Struthio camelus: one gene and its partner. The protein of the gene in region 1 interacts with the protein of each later gene in a pairwise test. Links are inferred from orthologs where the notes say so. Each region holds a gene or a part of one and is shown on either strand. Other genes may lie near its edges.

Region 1 (8,034 bases):
GAGGAGGATGAATTCTCAAGTTTGGGCAGCCATTTGGGAAGTGTACTCCCAACTGCTCAGGACAGGGTGGCTGTGTCTTTGTGGTAAACATGGGATGCAGTTTGAGGTCTCACCTGGCAGCATTTTAGCTAGAGTGAAGAGGGTGGAGTCATTGGCTACAAAGCAAGATGAGAACAATAGAGCTGCATCTTTTCCATGAAGATCAGCTAGTTCTTTTTCCAAATCAACATGAAATTTACTTGTTCCTGAAATATTTCTTGTGCCTCCTGCTCCAGCACCATGTTGTTTCAGTGTATCCCTACAGAGTGCCCAAAGAGAGGCATTAGTGTTACTGAGCAACACAAAGATGAATATAGGATTATTGCTGAAAACATTCTACACAATCTCTATCGTTCTAAAAAGAGCTGGCTGTGAAAAGCAGCTGTTATTTTAAGGTCTTTGAGCAACTTGCACACCTCAGGGATTCAATAGGCTAATGAATAAGGTATCAAGTACAGCTGCAATATACAATCCAGTTTATCTGCTAATATTTGGGGGCTGCTGAGGAAGCTCAAGGAGCAGGGTCAGCGACTGACAGGTTATGTTGCAGCCCTGGAGGAAGGGGGGGAAAACCACCACCTATCAAGGCTTAAGAGAAGTATAAGCTTTAAGGCTTCATTATATGAAAGAGTAATGCCAAAGTAGTTATGAAGTACAGTAGAAGTATAAATTCCAGGGAGGACTTTCTATAAAAGCTTCTATAGACCACCGTAGCTTGTAACTGCATCTTAAGAGCACAGTACTACTCACACAACTGCTCCACACACACGAGGGTGACGGCTCATCCCCAGGTAATCATTGCTGCACCACACAGACACCTCCTTTTTGGTGATAAGAGAATCAGAATAGTCATCTGCCATGGGAAAGATTTGTGCCTTTCTGTTTACTGTTTTGAATATTCGATAAGTATGATCCTTCTTCTTTTCATCTATCTTCTTCTCAAAGAACTGATCATACTGGAAGGTGGCCACAGCTGAAATAAGACAGACTTAAGTACATAGGAGTTAATCACAAGCAGACAGGCTACAGGGGTTTTGCCAGCTAAGCTTACATTTTGGCAAGTTATCCTGAAGCAGATGAGAGACACTTTCTGGTCTTTGCTTGAGCACAATATCCTGAAACTTCTTGAGCAAGCCACTCTGCTCTGTTCCCTCAGTTTGAGGGCTCCTCACTGTGGAGTTAGCTGGTGTTTTGGCAAATTCTGTACCTACAGACATGGCAAAGAATTGCAGTGAGCTTAATCCTTTTGAAACAAAATGAAAAGGTAAGTTATGAGTTCAGCAAGGCAGATATTTTAAGTTACTCTAACCCTTTGTTCTTTAAGGGCCTGCAGTTGAATCCATGGGGCATCCTGTTGGCATCGGCTCTTATTGGCTTATAACTTTGCCCTGTATGAGACAACAGGGGAAAAACTAGTTTGCTAATCAATGACAAGACAATGCAATGTCCTTGCACCACACTTGGCTTATCTTGACTAGCAAACCTACTCTATAAGGGTGCAGCTCCCATCTGAAAGAGCTGGTACATAGCTAACTGAAGTCAGGAGTTCTGGTTAGCAGCTTCTGTTTAACTCCCAGCATTTTGTTCAGTTGGTAGAGTTTTCCCCCAAGCCACAGAGAAAACCAGAGAAGTAAAACAAGCTTCCTTTCTGAGAAAGGCAAAAGTTTTACTGATATGGCTGAAAAGCATCTTTCGACAAAACTTTGTCAGAAGCTTGCTGCTTTGAAGGACAGCCCTTCTGCACCAAGCCAGCCAACACCCTTCTGTCATGTCAAACAAATGAAAAAGGTTGCTTGCTTGCTTGCCAGCTTGGATTTGTGCTGCTATTTACATAGTACCCTGTCCTGACTTCCTTCTTCTCTGGATATACCACCTTGTCTATACCAGCACTTTGGTAAAGCTCACTTGAGTCCTAAACATCTACTTTGGGTACAAGTGCTACAGCTTGGTTCACAGCCCTAAAAGCAGGGTGCTATTCCCACATCAGAATCACCCTGGGCAATCATTGCAGAATACAGCTGATACACCATTAACACCCAGTGTCTGCTACAACAGCTTGTCATCTCCCATGGTCCTACTGACACAATTTAAGTGGTGTCAGTTAAGACCTGGCATGTGCTAGAGTGGAGTCAGGCACCAAAGGCAAACGCTTCAGAGCCCAAAATACCTACCTTTCCTCTCGGGCTGCATTTCCTGCACATCCTCCTGGAGTTCTAGGCTGGCTTTGCAGAAGACATTACTGTTCCCGTGATTCATCTGAGCTGCCAGGAAGGGGCACTTGGTAGCAGAGCTCGGGGGGCCGGCGGCAGCAGGCGGCGGGTGGCCGGCGGGCGGCCGGCATCCCTCGGCGCTCTGCTCAGCGGCGTCTTTGGCACTTTTGGCCTCTGAGGTGGGAGGAAGGGGAGGGGAGAGAGGCTTCAGTTTCATCGTTTCGGCGCGGTTACTGGAGCTTTTCTACCTAAGCCCTTAGCGCCGGACTTGGCAGGAGCCGACCGGGGCCGCTTAACCGAGCGTTTGCGTCTTATTTCGCGGAAGGAGGAAATTCCAGCGCCTGATTCAGCCGCTCGTCCGGCACCGCGGCGCAGGAAGGGGGAAACGCGTCCTTCCCCCCCCCCCCACCCCGGGGCGGGGAGCTCAGCGCCCCCCCCCCCCCCCGCACTCACCGCGGCGGGCGGCCGGGGTCTCCTCAGCGCGCTGCCGGCACCCGGCCGAGCTGCCGAGGGCGCGGGCCGGCGCCGCCTCCATCATGCGCGGGCAGTGCTGGGCGTAGAGCAGCAGCGAGGGCCCGGCCTTCTGCAGGAAGGCCTGCGGCACCCGGGCCAGGAACGGGCAGCGCCGCACCACCGCCTCCATCGTGTCGCTGTCGCCGCCTCACCGCCCTGTCGTGACAGGCACCCGCCTCGCCGCTGCGAGTGCCGCCGCTCCCTATATAGGCCGGGCGAGCAGGGCGCATGCGCGTTGCGGCTGCCACCGCCGCCCCCATGGGCGCAGGCGCGGGAGGGGCGGGGCGCGGCCGGCCGCCCGCCCCCGGCCTGGTGTGGCGCGGGGCGGGGCGGGGCCGCGCGCCTTTTCCAGAAGGGTCGGAGGGCGGCGGGGCTGGGGCTGGCGCCGTGCCCGAGGGCGGTGCCGGTGCCCGGCGCCCGGCGAAGGGAACAGCGTTCTCGTGAGACGGGCGGCGGGGAGTAGCGCTGAACCCTGCGGCCCCTGGCCCGCGACAGGCGTTAGCGCCTCTCTGCTCGTCCGCTTGGGAGGGAGGGTGGTTTTTATTTTCGTGGTGTTCCGTGGGGTTGTTTTCGTGCTAGCCGGGGCTCTCCTCGTAGCCAGCCCGGCGGCACCAAGCGTCGGCAGCGCTCTGCGAGCTGCCGCTACCCCCCGAGCGCCGAAAGGGCCAGGGGAGGGAAGGTGACGGGTTTTTTTCTTCCTCTTCTTGTAAAACACTGATTTCGGGCTCGCGCAGAGTACCGCCTCGCTCATCCTCACCCCACCCCTTCCCCCAGGCAAAAGCCACCTTTTGGCTGGTTTATAAGATAGCTGTACTTTTTTTATTGAGTAACAAGTGTGGGGTTTAGGAGGAGCGCTCTTTCGAAAGTTCCCTCTCGACTGACACCTCGCGTCTCACCGAGCGGTCGAGGTGCTGGGAGGCACTCGTACGGTCGCGGCTGGGGAAGAGCAGAGCCTGTCTAGACCTGTGGCTGCTGAGCTCCTGAGTTTGGCTGCGCAAGGCGCTAGGAAGGTATCGGTCAATGTTTACACGTTACGAATTAATCCGTAATTGCCTGATCCCGCCTCTGTCACCGCGTTTGAAGATGCTGGTGGCAGCACGTGAAGTTGGCGGCCTGGATAAGCAGACCCCGAGGAGGTCGAGCTTTTCAAACCCCCCGTTAAACAGCAGAGTCGCTGTCAGCTTCCGCGTGCCGTTCAGCTCCCGCTTAGGGAACCGGACAGCGTTCTGGCCTCGCTTGTTCCTCGTGGAGCCCTAATAACAGTCAAATGGGGCTTTACACGGTAGAGGCATGGGATATTTGGGTTTTAATAGGGCTAGAGAGTGTTTTAAGCACAGTTTGCTTGCTTATTAGAAATTTAGCACGGCGTTGACTTGTGAGTCTTAATATTCAAAGCTTAAACAATTCGACTCGTTATTTCAGCAACATAGTGCAGAAGTTACCATTAACGTACACAGCTTTTTTTTTTTAAGTGGATATCATTAAACTGCATGTGTGCCAGTTTTATTTTGTTCTGTAAATAAATGATTAAGCTGAGGGTACGGTATTCGATCCAAGCCCGTACAGCGGTTGCGATAACAACAGTCTTGGGCGCTTGGCAATACCAGGACGGTGCTTCAAGTTCTTAGCTGAGTTTGTTCACGAAGAGAGCTCGTTCTTCATAGCTGGCTTTCAGTTAGTGCTACACGCGGCAAGTACTTATGTTTTGCAAAACATAATAGTGAATAAGCTATTAAAAAAAAGTTTAAAGATGCCTGATGTGTGTTTGGATGACTGCTCTCCCTTCCCACATCGAACATCTGACTCTCTACCCTCAAGCTGTTGCCCACATCAGTTATTTTTAAAAATGAGGAAACAGACTACTAAATTCTGCTGTGCAGATATCTGGTGAATATCATCAGAGCAGAGTTAGGTTCCTGAACCTAAGGGATCATTGCGGTGTTCTTTGGATTAATTTCAGTTTTAACACCAGAAACTGAGTCCTGTATGCCTGATTTATAGTGTGTTGATGGCATCTTTCCTTCTCCCCTTCTTCTTGTATTCTGTGACCATGCTACTTAATTCAAGAGGGGCGGAAGGAATACTTCATGAACAACAGCCCGCCCTAGAGAAAGGGGTTTGACAAGTACGTTGGCCGAGTAGCGCAACAGACTGTAAAGCTTGTCTGTATGGACACCTGCCGCAGCAGGTTCAAGCCCGCAGAAATCTGATAATGCTTCGTTATCCTAATCTTAGTAGCAGCATCTTATTATATTGCAAGGTTGGGGGATGAAGTGCGTTAGCCTGCTCTGTTGCTGGAATACAGAAACTTATGCTTTTAGAATTAGAAGTGCCCATGTCAAGTCTGGTCAGTAAATGAGCCTGAAGAGCATCAGCTTGTTACCCAAACATGACTCAAGGTTGGAAGCTGAGACAAAGTGACCTTGGCTAAGATGGTGAGATCTCCAAACGGTGCCGAACCCTGAGCTCTCCTGTCAAACTTGCTTAGGCTCTGTGGTGTTAATCAGACCCCATCATAACACTGTTTTCGAGCTTGTTTCTGGTGAATTTATTTAACCTTGTACATGACAGAAGTTGTGCAGAGCTAAATAGCAATGAAATGACATAAACTTGACCCTTATCTTGGGGAGCTGCCAAAGGAGAATGTCACCGTCAGTGCACAGAGATGGTTGTGAGCTCTAGGTCCAATAAAGTGCTGAAAAAATAGTGGTAAAATTAGGGGGAAAGGGTGTCTTCTCTACTGCTCTGCCAGTTCACTCACTTTGGGAGTTTTAGGTAGTGAAGATGAAGTAAATGCTAATAAAGCTATCGTTAATTAAAGTTTCTTAGGGCTTTAGTGGATCAATTAAATGGTATTTAAAGATTTTAATTGTGGGGCTGTATTACCCTCATCCTCCAAGGCTCAGGAGAAACTAGCTGGAGTGCCATGCAAAAGCTGGTTGCCGCACTCCAGGAAGAGGATTTCAGACAGAGACGCATGGGATGGTACCGTAGTAGCCAAGCGGGGAACAGGAAGCTCATCCCAAGAGGGAAAACTAGGCATACGCAGCCTGTCAGGAGGCCACTGGTGGGCATGGGAGAAACGGGTTCGCTGCCTGTGAATACATAAAAGGTGGAGTAGCATGTACCAAAGAAGGAAAAACGGTTTAGGCTGCGGGGATGACCTCGATGTGAGACCAAACGCTTACTCAGCTGGCCGTGAAGAAGTGTAGGTTGGAATTTGGGTGGTTCCTGGCTGTAACTGTTTTGGAACAGCCTTCTGGTAAGAGCCACTGAGACTATGAATACCAGCTGGCTTTTTGCAAGGGAAGCTCTATCTGCCTGAAAGGCTCATGGGATGTAGTGGTAGGGGCTCAGTTACCCAGAGCGTCTCTGCTGATTTTTTTTTTTTTTTGTTTTCTAAAGCCCATTCTGTTCTGATGATTTGTCCATTTGTTTGCTAAATGAGTTGCAAGAGGAGAAAAAAGGTTAAATTCCAGCAATCTGGGAGGTGGATGAGAAGCAGTAGAAAGTGGTTCCCAGATAGAAGTCTAAAGGGAAGGAAAAAAAAACAAAAAAAACCCTGCCACAAGGTCAAGTTGATTTCTGCAGATGTCCATGAAAAGTTGCTGCTAAAGATGGTCTCTTTCTATGTGATTGGTTTACTATACAGGCTGAGCTGGGAATTGCCATGAAAATAATTCCCTTCTGTCCCTCTCCTCTCTAACAAGTTTTCCTAATATTCCTAGAAACAGAACTTGACCAGCAATTTGTAACTTTAATCCAGTCTCACATCTGTCAGCAATTAGTTCCTCTGTTTGAATTTGAATTGGATTTTTTGATCTGTAGAGAAGCCTTTAGATTCTTCAGGAGAAAAGCAAGAGTAAAGCCCCTCTGCACCCAGGTTATCCAAAGGAAAACGTGTAACTGTACCATTAGCAAAGCTTAATCCCTCTTGCCCGCTTCCCAAATCAGAGGCTGCACGCATTTCTCATTTTTCCCACCCATTCAGTGTCACAAAAGGGCAAGACAGAAAAACAGTCCTCCTCGCCGCCCCCCCCCCATCTCTTCCTATATTGAGATCAGAGTTTTCCAAAGGAGTGGATGTGATCCTGACATCTGGATTTAATCCAGACTCAAATTCCAGGCTTGGGTCTAAGAATTTCCACTTCCAGTGCTGAGACTAGCAGTTCTTAGAGAGCTGTTTACCTTTTAAGGCAAAATTCAAGGGTTGTAAGAGTAGTAGCATAGTGAAAATTCCTCCCATGTTGCATTTCTTTAGTATTTTTTCCCCCATCTCTTCCTCATTTGGATAGAATGCTCTCCATGTTTTCCTTACTTGACAAAAGAGGGAACCTCCTTTCTCTCTGTGACCCCAGTCTGCTGGGTTTTCAGTCAAGCTGGAAGAGGTGCTGAGTGTTGAGGCATGGGATATCTGTCGGAAAGTGCGTGAGCTGCACCCCCCTTTTTGAGCCACCAAGGGAGCAAGCTCCTTACCCAGGGTCATGCAAACAAGTGCCAAATTGATTTTCTCCCCAGTGCAGTGGATGCCTTTGAAAACTTATGGGCTGCCTGTAGGTCCTCACAAGCGCGTTGGGTCAGGATCCTTCTTACCTGCCTGCTGAGGCCCAGATGCAGAGGACTTCTGTAGCTTGGCAAACCCCTTTATTTCAGTCTGACTCATGTTCAGATGAGACAGGAGAAGCTGTTGCCACCCTAATACAGGCACCCTGCCCTTCTGCTGCAAGGCACTACTCCCACATTAGGGCTGCTGCAACTTTCAGTAGCCAGCAGTGGTTTATCTTAATTGCAGAATGTCTCCTTGACTTTCCTCAAGTTGCTTCAGAGTTGGAAATCATACAGCACTGTCTTTCATTTGGCATCTTCAAGTTTGTCTTGCTGTGTGCGGTATGTTGCAGGAACTGATACAAGAATCCTTCCAGCTAACGTTAGCTTTGTTTCACGTACAGTGATTTGCAATCACACCCTTGTTTGTTCCTCTCACGTTCCTTTCGTCTTTCTCTTAGAAAGGACCAGTAGGGTCCAACCAGTATATTTTTGTTAGGATTATCGTGGACTTCAAGCCGTCATTTTTCTTGCATCTTTCAGTCCTCCTCCTTCCTCGTTAGCTCCTTAGGCAGAGATATCACCTTCTACATCCAGCTGAGGAGCTTGAACTCTCTCTGTAGCTAGCAGAGAGGAAAAGTATTTTTCCAAAGAGTGAATCTGAGTATTTCTTGTACAAAGGGGTGAGAGGGTGGGGAGAGGACTTAGCTCCTAAATTAAGGTCTCT
Region 2 (7,743 bases), on another chromosome or scaffold:
TTGGCTTTGCAGTCCGCCCTGTTCTCCAATGCTTATATTCACCACTGTCAGTGACACACTATAAAAATATGTATCTTTTGATCAGTGAATCAGTCCACTCATTTGCATGGATTGCTCACAAGGTGCAGTGAGTGCAGAGAGAAATAATGCTCTGATAAGCGTTTGTAGGCCCATGCCCATATGCATGGCTTTGCTTCTGGGAGAATTTCCCTGCAGCAAGATGAGGATATACTCCAGTAGAAATACCACTGGGTCAGGCTAGCTTTATAAGAGATCAGCAAGCAGTGCTGTTTGAATAAAATAAAATAAAAAATAAAAAATAAAAAATAAATTTAAAAATAAAAAACAAATATTAAAACACAAAAATAAAAATACTTTAAAAAACAAAATAAATAAAACAACAAAATACATTTAAAAATAAAAAATAAACCCCTCCAAAACAATAATAACACAAAATAAAAAATAAAAACAAAAATAAGAATAAAAGATAAAAGAAAAAATACAAAAATACAAAAATAAACAAAATAACAAAATAAAATAGAAGGCTGTCTACCTTGAGGCTAGGGATAGAGTAGGTCCACAGACTTACCAAAATTGTTAGGAACAACCACTGAGCATCTAATTGTTTACAATCTTTTGCAACGTGGTCTGGGCTTTCACACATTATTGCCAGAGCCAGATCACCAGCTCGACCTCTGAGGCTACAAACTTACTCAAAGGCTTAAAGAAGTGGCTCTCTTTCTCGGCTTGACAAACACGCATCTCCAGCTCTAATTTGAAGAAACACTAGGTAGGTACAGCTGATCAAGAATGATCTAGCATATGTCAGGAACACGGCTTTAATGGATGTTTTGATTGGTATTGGAAGTCATTGGAATGGGTATTGGAAGAGGGAATATGTACGTATCTTAGCACGTATAGCAGGTATACTACCTGCTTCAACTGGAAACCTTCTGCAGTAGTAAAAATGGGCACCACAAACACGTCAAATCAAAGCACAAAGAAATTTCAAGACGAGTGAAATTTCAAGGGAGGCCACCACTTCTGGCCTCAGCCCATTCCCAGCCAAGAATAACTACAGATAGTTTAGCCGACAGGTTTACTGCTTCTAGTGTGTAATGAACTGGCGTAGACAAAAAACACAGAAACAAAGTAACAGCTTGCATTGAAGCTGGGCTCACTGAGCCAGATTGCAGTATACAAAACTGCAGCAATAGGTAGCCTGCAGGAATGCCCCGGTAACTCTTAGTTTTGACAGTGGTCTGTATATAGCCTTCAACATGTTCCTGCTTCCCATCACTTTCTGTATTTAGACTAGCTACTATGGTAAACTTTCAAAGTGCCATGTACTTACTAATCTGCCTCTGCCTTTGTCCTTTCTCCCTGTGATGCTAGAAACAACCGCAATAACTGACAAAGTTACAGTTTCTTATGGCTTACCTTGGTGATGTAGCCATTTCAGCACATAAAACTGACAATCCTTGAAGGCTTTTCACTCCTCGCCCTATCCTGCTCCAGAGGAGGCTTTGCTACAAATTCATTCTTCCCCACACAATGCCCTTTCAGACTTTGGTCTACACTTTGGTAGCTTTTTAAGTTCACATACTGTTTACTTCACAGCCATCAATCCACTTAAGTCAGATTTTCCAGACATGTTACTGGATACCAGGATAAACGAGGTTGCACATCCACACCCTCATTCAGCATATGGGACACAGGTGGGCTGAAGAAGAGGCTAGGTTTTCCTCCACAGACCTCACTGACACTTTGCTGGGACTCTGGTTTTCTTACAGAATATTCTTCTCATGCGTACTAGATGTAGATCCACTGCCGCTCATGACAAGTCTAAAGGATGAAAATAAATGAATGAGAACAAACGAATGGTTGTCTCTCTCAGCTAAAACTTCTCTCTATGGGGGAACTGATGCGGGTGTACAGATATGTGCCAAAGCCAATGTCTCTGAAGAGAAATATGTTTTTGTTTTTTTTTTTCAAAGCATGTCATGCTCTAGCCATCCTCCCACATTCCACCTTGCCCTTGCTTAGGGTGGGAATGATCCTGAGCTCATGATTCCACACAGTCAGCTTCTCCAGCAATAACAAAGGCAGCAGGAATAGGCATCATATAGCCTATAGCTTCGCAAAGTTTGAGAATCTGCATCAGGTATGGGCCTGATGGTGGGCACACCATTCTGGAGTGTAGGAGGCAGACAAGTCATTGCTAAAGTGCTCGTGTGTGTGGAGGCACAAATCGTGGTGGAATAGATACTATGTGGGTTGCTACTCCTGCTGAAGTGCAGGCAGCCTGAGTTGCCTGCCTCGAGGGATCCAGGACAAACTGATTGAAAGTGAGCCAGTCCTCCATGCTGAGAACAAGTACCATCAAGTGCTTTGTTCAATGTCTAATGAAGATAGAGCAGTTTAAGCTTTAAGCTGTTCTTCGCGCTTGTTTCAATATGAGATCATCTTTCTCAAATACGGTCAGCCCCAGATAGCACAATGTATTTCAGAAAAGGCTTATTAGACCCTTATACAATAGCATTTTCATTATTTCTCCTTACTTTAAATGCCTCCTGACACATCCTAGGGTCACGCTTGCCTTTCTCATCACCACGTTACATTCATGATTCATAGTCATTCTGTGACCAACTGCTGCACACAGGTTTTTCTCCTTCTCAGTTAATTGCAAGTAATAAACTTCCAGATTGCAGCAAAGGCCCATATTGTTAGTTAGATATTAACTAACAACACTTTGAATTTTGACCCATTTCTTTTACTCTAGTCTTCAAAGTCATCTGGTTATTTCAGTTTGAAATGTCATTAGCATATTAATCAGGGTTCGATTCTCCTCTTCAGTTAAGTTACTGACATAAGCAATCAGCTCTCAATTTTTAGTGCATTTTATAATCAAGTTCAACCACCTACCATCCTCATTCTTCAGAATGCAAGGCTGTTTTCTCAGTCAGTTATCTGGAATGTCTGATTACCATTTCTTTGACAGAAACTGGCTCTTTTACATCGATGAGTAAGGGCGGTGTAACCTGGGTCTAAATGAGTGGTGGAAAGAAATGAAGACAACAGAGAGAGATGACATATTGTCACATGGATTTTCTGAATGTGTACAAGCTGTTTTCTTTAACAATTTGTGCCTACATTATACGTTTCTTAGCTTATACTACATCTACTAGAACACACTCAGCTGAATTTCTTGACACAGACAAAATTAAAGGACCGTGAGCTTAAAGCTCTGCTGCACATGCACTGGCAGATAGCTTATTCATAAACTAAAGATTCAGCAATACCATAAATGCATTCTACCGAAGAGGCGGAGACAGTGTTCAGCTCCTGCTGTATCTTTTGAGGAGTCTTTTATCTTTAGCAAGGCATGCAAGAGAACAGTATTCATCTGTGAACTGAGATCCCATCTTAAACTCTAATCTCCCCAATCATCTTCTCTTCTATTGTGTAATGGAAAATATGAACAACTTGACAGCAGCCTGCATGACAAAAAATAGTGTTTGTGAATAGTCAAGCCAGATCTAGTGCTGATGATGCAGACATACTAATTAAATAATAGTACAGTAATTCTTTTTGTAAACATCTGCAGACTGAATATTCAGAGTGCTAAAAATAGCACAGTTTTTATGTCTAGTAGTGACCCCTGCTGTTTAAGATAGTTATAGCAATGATAAACACTTCCGGAAGATAAATCAACTGCTTTGGAATCAGCTGCTTTTTTGTGTCCACATGTAACGGAGGCTCTTCCTCAGACGTTAAAGAAGAAAATTTATTTGTATTACTAACACTTAATTACCAGGGTCTTATACAGGGTCTTTCACAGCTTAGTCTTGGAAGCTCTCAGGCAACAACATGCCTCAGGTTCGTATGGGGCAGAAGTCAGTTATAAGGCACGTTCCAGAGCAGTGCTACTATAATGGCAGACTTTTCAGAGTCATCGTATCCTCTCAGCTCTAGCTTTAAGGATATTTTAACACTAGAGGGGAAGTACTGTAGAAATCCATCTTTATTCTATGAATTGATATGGAGAATTTCTTCTTTAAAACTGAAATGTACTTCTGGTACAATTTAAGTTAACAGAATTCCCATTTACCTTGATTATAAACAACGATTTCACTCCAAATGTACCTTTTTATTGCAACGATTACACTACAAATAGCACTTTATAGTCTATATAGATTACCTGAAAATATGGGCATTAAGCATCTTGGGAACAAACGGAAGGGAAAGAACAGTGTTACCCTCCCTCCCTTTTCCTTATTTTGTCTCTCTGGTAAATTATGATTTGATAATATTCATAATAATTTGGTAAATTATGAATTAAATGATTCTGATTAGTTTTTGGTTATTGGCCCAATAAGCCAGGAGAAAAGTGATTTTGCATTCTAATGTTTTCCGTATAATTGCTTGTAACATTTTCTCATGCTTCCATGAGGAAACTCACAATCAGACAGGCATTTCTCCACGACTTGTTTTTCGGAACAGCAGCATGTGTTTTGAAGTGCAGCCTCAATCAATCATACCTGCTGCATTTTTCATTGGCGGACCAAAAGCCCAGAAAGGAGAGAAAAAAAAACCCAAAACAAAAAAGCCCTGGCGTTTTCGGTGAGCCTCCAACTTCCCCCCAGGGTCGTAAATACTAAAGAAAAAGCGCTGGCAAATCTGCCACTTCTGGTTCCTTCAGCAAGACAGCTCTATGCTCTCCAGGGCGACCTGAACACCTTAGGGGGAGTGCTCACCAGCGCTTTTCCACAGCCACGGATTGGAGGAGAGCCCGGCGCTCCCCGTGGCGGGTAACGGCCGCCTCGGCATCCTCAGCCGCGGGCCCGGCCCCTCCTTCCCGCGGCTCACGACGATCCCGGCCACTGCCGCTGCCGCCCCACGCCACGGCCGTTACCGCCGCCCGCAGCGACGACGCCAGGACGCGCGAGAGCCGCGCGCGCCCCCGAGGGCTCCGCAGCCAATGGGAGGCGGCGCGCGCTCGGCCAATCGCGGGCCGCCTGGCGCCGCGGCTTGAGGAAGGCAAGGCGCGCGCGCTGCTGCCGTTGCGGTTGCCGTTGCGGTTGCCGTTGGGGCGGGGGGCGCCGCCCAGCTGCCGGCGGGCGGCGTTGGTGGCCGGCGGAGCGGCTCTTGCCGGTGCCATGCACTCGCTCGGAGAGGAGATCCGGAGCTTCTCCCGGGCGAACCTGCGGAAGCAGTGCACCAGGGTGACGACGCTGACGGGGAAGAGGATCATCGAGACGTGGCGGGGCGCCTGCCTGCAGGTGGTGGAGGAGACGGAGCCTGCCGGCGGCGGCGGCTGCGGTTACGTGCCGGACCTCAGCGCCGACCTGCAGGTCGGCGTGGTGCGGCCCTGGCTGCTGCTGGGTGAGTCGGTGCCGCTGGCGAGGCCCGCTGGAAGACCCTGCCTCGCCTCTGGCTGGATGGTTACAGCTAACCGTAGACAGTAAATGTTCACTCTGCTGGTTTGTAGTCAGTGGGCTCCAGGGAAAAGGGTCTCCAGACTTTCAGGAGTGACTGTTGTTGACTTCTTGACAGTGTGGTGCTACCTTGATGCCAAGTGATAATTCACGTGATGGTAAACTTGCTCTCTTTCCAGGGTCGCAGGATGCTGCTCATGATCTGGAGACGATGAAGAAGTATAAGGTAACATCGTGTAGCGATTAAAAACATACCTCACGTAGTGCTTGTTAGAGGATTTTTTTTTTAAGTTGGAAAACTCTAAAAAATGTATGTTCTCAGGTAACTTTAAAGATAGTAGTAATACTACATTTATACTTTAAAAAGGCTGCTACCAATAAAGCTTGCAGCAGCTCCATTCACAGATGGATGGATGCATGTGAGTTTCACAAGAGGCTGAAATACTTTGCTGCAAGACTCATGATTGTTTAGCACTATTTATAGAATACATTCTGGCATTGCTATACATGTTCTTAAGTTTCAGATGCTAGCCAGAATCAAACCCACTGGCTTTTATGGGAGTTGTTAAAAGGAGAAAAACAAAGCAATAACTCTAAGTCTGTCCTGAACATCCATCTTTTTACTCTTCTTTGCTAGGGTAATGAGGTGGTATGGCCTTCAGACCATTGTGCTTCTGCAGGACAGGGCGTGCACTGACCTGGCATCCATTGCCATCTAAATGTCACTTCGCCATAAATTAAAACAATCCATGACTTCACCATACCTTGAACAGAGCAAATATGGTAGGAAGCCAGATTTGCTCTTTTCTGCCAAGTGCAAGTATAGTTTACTCTGAAATTCTTGTGTTCCAGTAAACATTACTGGTGAGTCAGTAGAAACAACATCACTGTGACGGGCTTGGGCAGGCTTTGAAATTTGGGGGATTATGGGGTGTCATTCTGTCAGTACAGGGGTGACCTGTACTGTCATTCCCATTGGTTTCTCTTTTATTTTCCATCTGTATGCTGACAACTCCCTTTTCTGTTTAAAATCCTTACTTCAGTCTGTATGTTTGGGTGAGCACAGATCACTTAATTTCCTCTGATTTGCGATGAGGGGAGGGGAAAAAAAGGAAGTCTTCAATCACATGATTTGTAGTAAGAGGTTTAAAGCTTATTGACCAGGTTGTATGACTGGCTTGGTGCCATTGAGTATCCTCAGACAGCAGATCTCAGTGTCACAATAAATTATGGGGCATTAGCATTCATCCCTGAACGCTATGGTATTTACGGTCACTCTAAATTTCTTGGCACTTCTCTGCAATACTTTAGCTTTCTGTCAAATTCAGTTTAGCTGATCAGTTTCTCACCACATCTGACAAATTAATATTTATTCTTCTTTTATTGTTGGGTAGTGTGTCTCTGTACTGTAAAATGGAAGTTATGCTCCATCCAGAGTTGTTTAAACTGCAGTGATGAAATAAATGATTCCTACTTGTAAATTGAAATGGATTTTGAGTACCTACCTGGTGATCAGATATTAAATAAATTAAAGTTGTGACTCAGAGTAACTTCAGTAGATATGAAGTTACTTATTTGAAATACCTTCATTGCCCTAATGATCATTGCCATTTTGTTTTAATAAAAAAGAAGAAAAGTGAAATATAGCACAACATATTTTAACACTCAGTAAAACTTTACTTTGAAAAAAACACACCATAGGCAGGCTATATATATAAAACTGAATGAACAACAGTGCAGTTGCGTACATTACAGTCTATGTATGTCTAATGAATAGTCTACCTTTCTTACTGTTCAGTTGCTTGCAGTCTTCAGAAAATGCTTTTTTTTTTTTTTTTTGGACTTAGGTTACTCATGTTCTAAATGTGGCATACGGAGTCCAGAATGCCTTCCTCAATGACTTTATATACAAGAGCATTTCTATTCTGGATCTCCCAGAAACTGATATTACCTCCTACTTCCCAGAATGTTTTGAGTTTATTGAGAAAGCCAAGATCCAGGTACAGTATATGAATAATTAATGCTACTAGTTATCCTGTTTAGATTATTTATTGCACTATTTAAAATCTAAAGCAAAAAAGAACATGTGGCACCAAATGAGTACCTTTGTCATTGCTTTTTTCATTTTAAGTAGAGAATTCAAGCAATTTCTAAGCATTCGTAGAAACATGACCCTGCTATTAATCCCCATTCCCTATCAGTGTTACTTTTTTTAGAATGACTGATCTGCATGTTATAGAGACATGCTTCTTTAACAAAGCTGTTGTGTCTTTAGATAAAGAAATCCCATCTAAGTCCAAGTTAC

What was found.
Region 2: the proteins of ALAS1 (region 1) and DUSP19 interact in a two-hybrid assay, tested with the Homo sapiens proteins (3 studies listed by BioGRID and IntAct). The two-hybrid records come from large-scale screens. The link is inferred for Struthio camelus from reciprocal best matches to the Homo sapiens genes ALAS1 and DUSP19.

The regions. Positions count from the first base shown.
Region 1 is NC_090955.1:22,843,005-22,851,038, reverse strand, and holds the start of ALAS1 (5-aminolevulinate synthase, non-specific, mitochondrial), read right to left. Parts: upstream 3,074-8,034; 5' UTR 2,893-3,073; coding exon 2,703-2,892; intron 2,424-2,702; coding exon 2,211-2,423; intron 1,247-2,210; coding exon 1,091-1,246; intron 1,013-1,090; coding exon 790-1,012; intron 299-789; coding exon 114-298; intron 1-113.
Region 2 is NC_090947.1:17,825,429-17,833,171, reverse strand, and holds the start of DUSP19 (dual specificity protein phosphatase 19), read left to right. Parts: upstream 1-4,700; 5' UTR 4,701-5,159; coding exon 5,160-5,385; intron 5,386-5,617; coding exon 5,618-5,664; intron 5,665-7,285; coding exon 7,286-7,438; intron 7,439-7,743.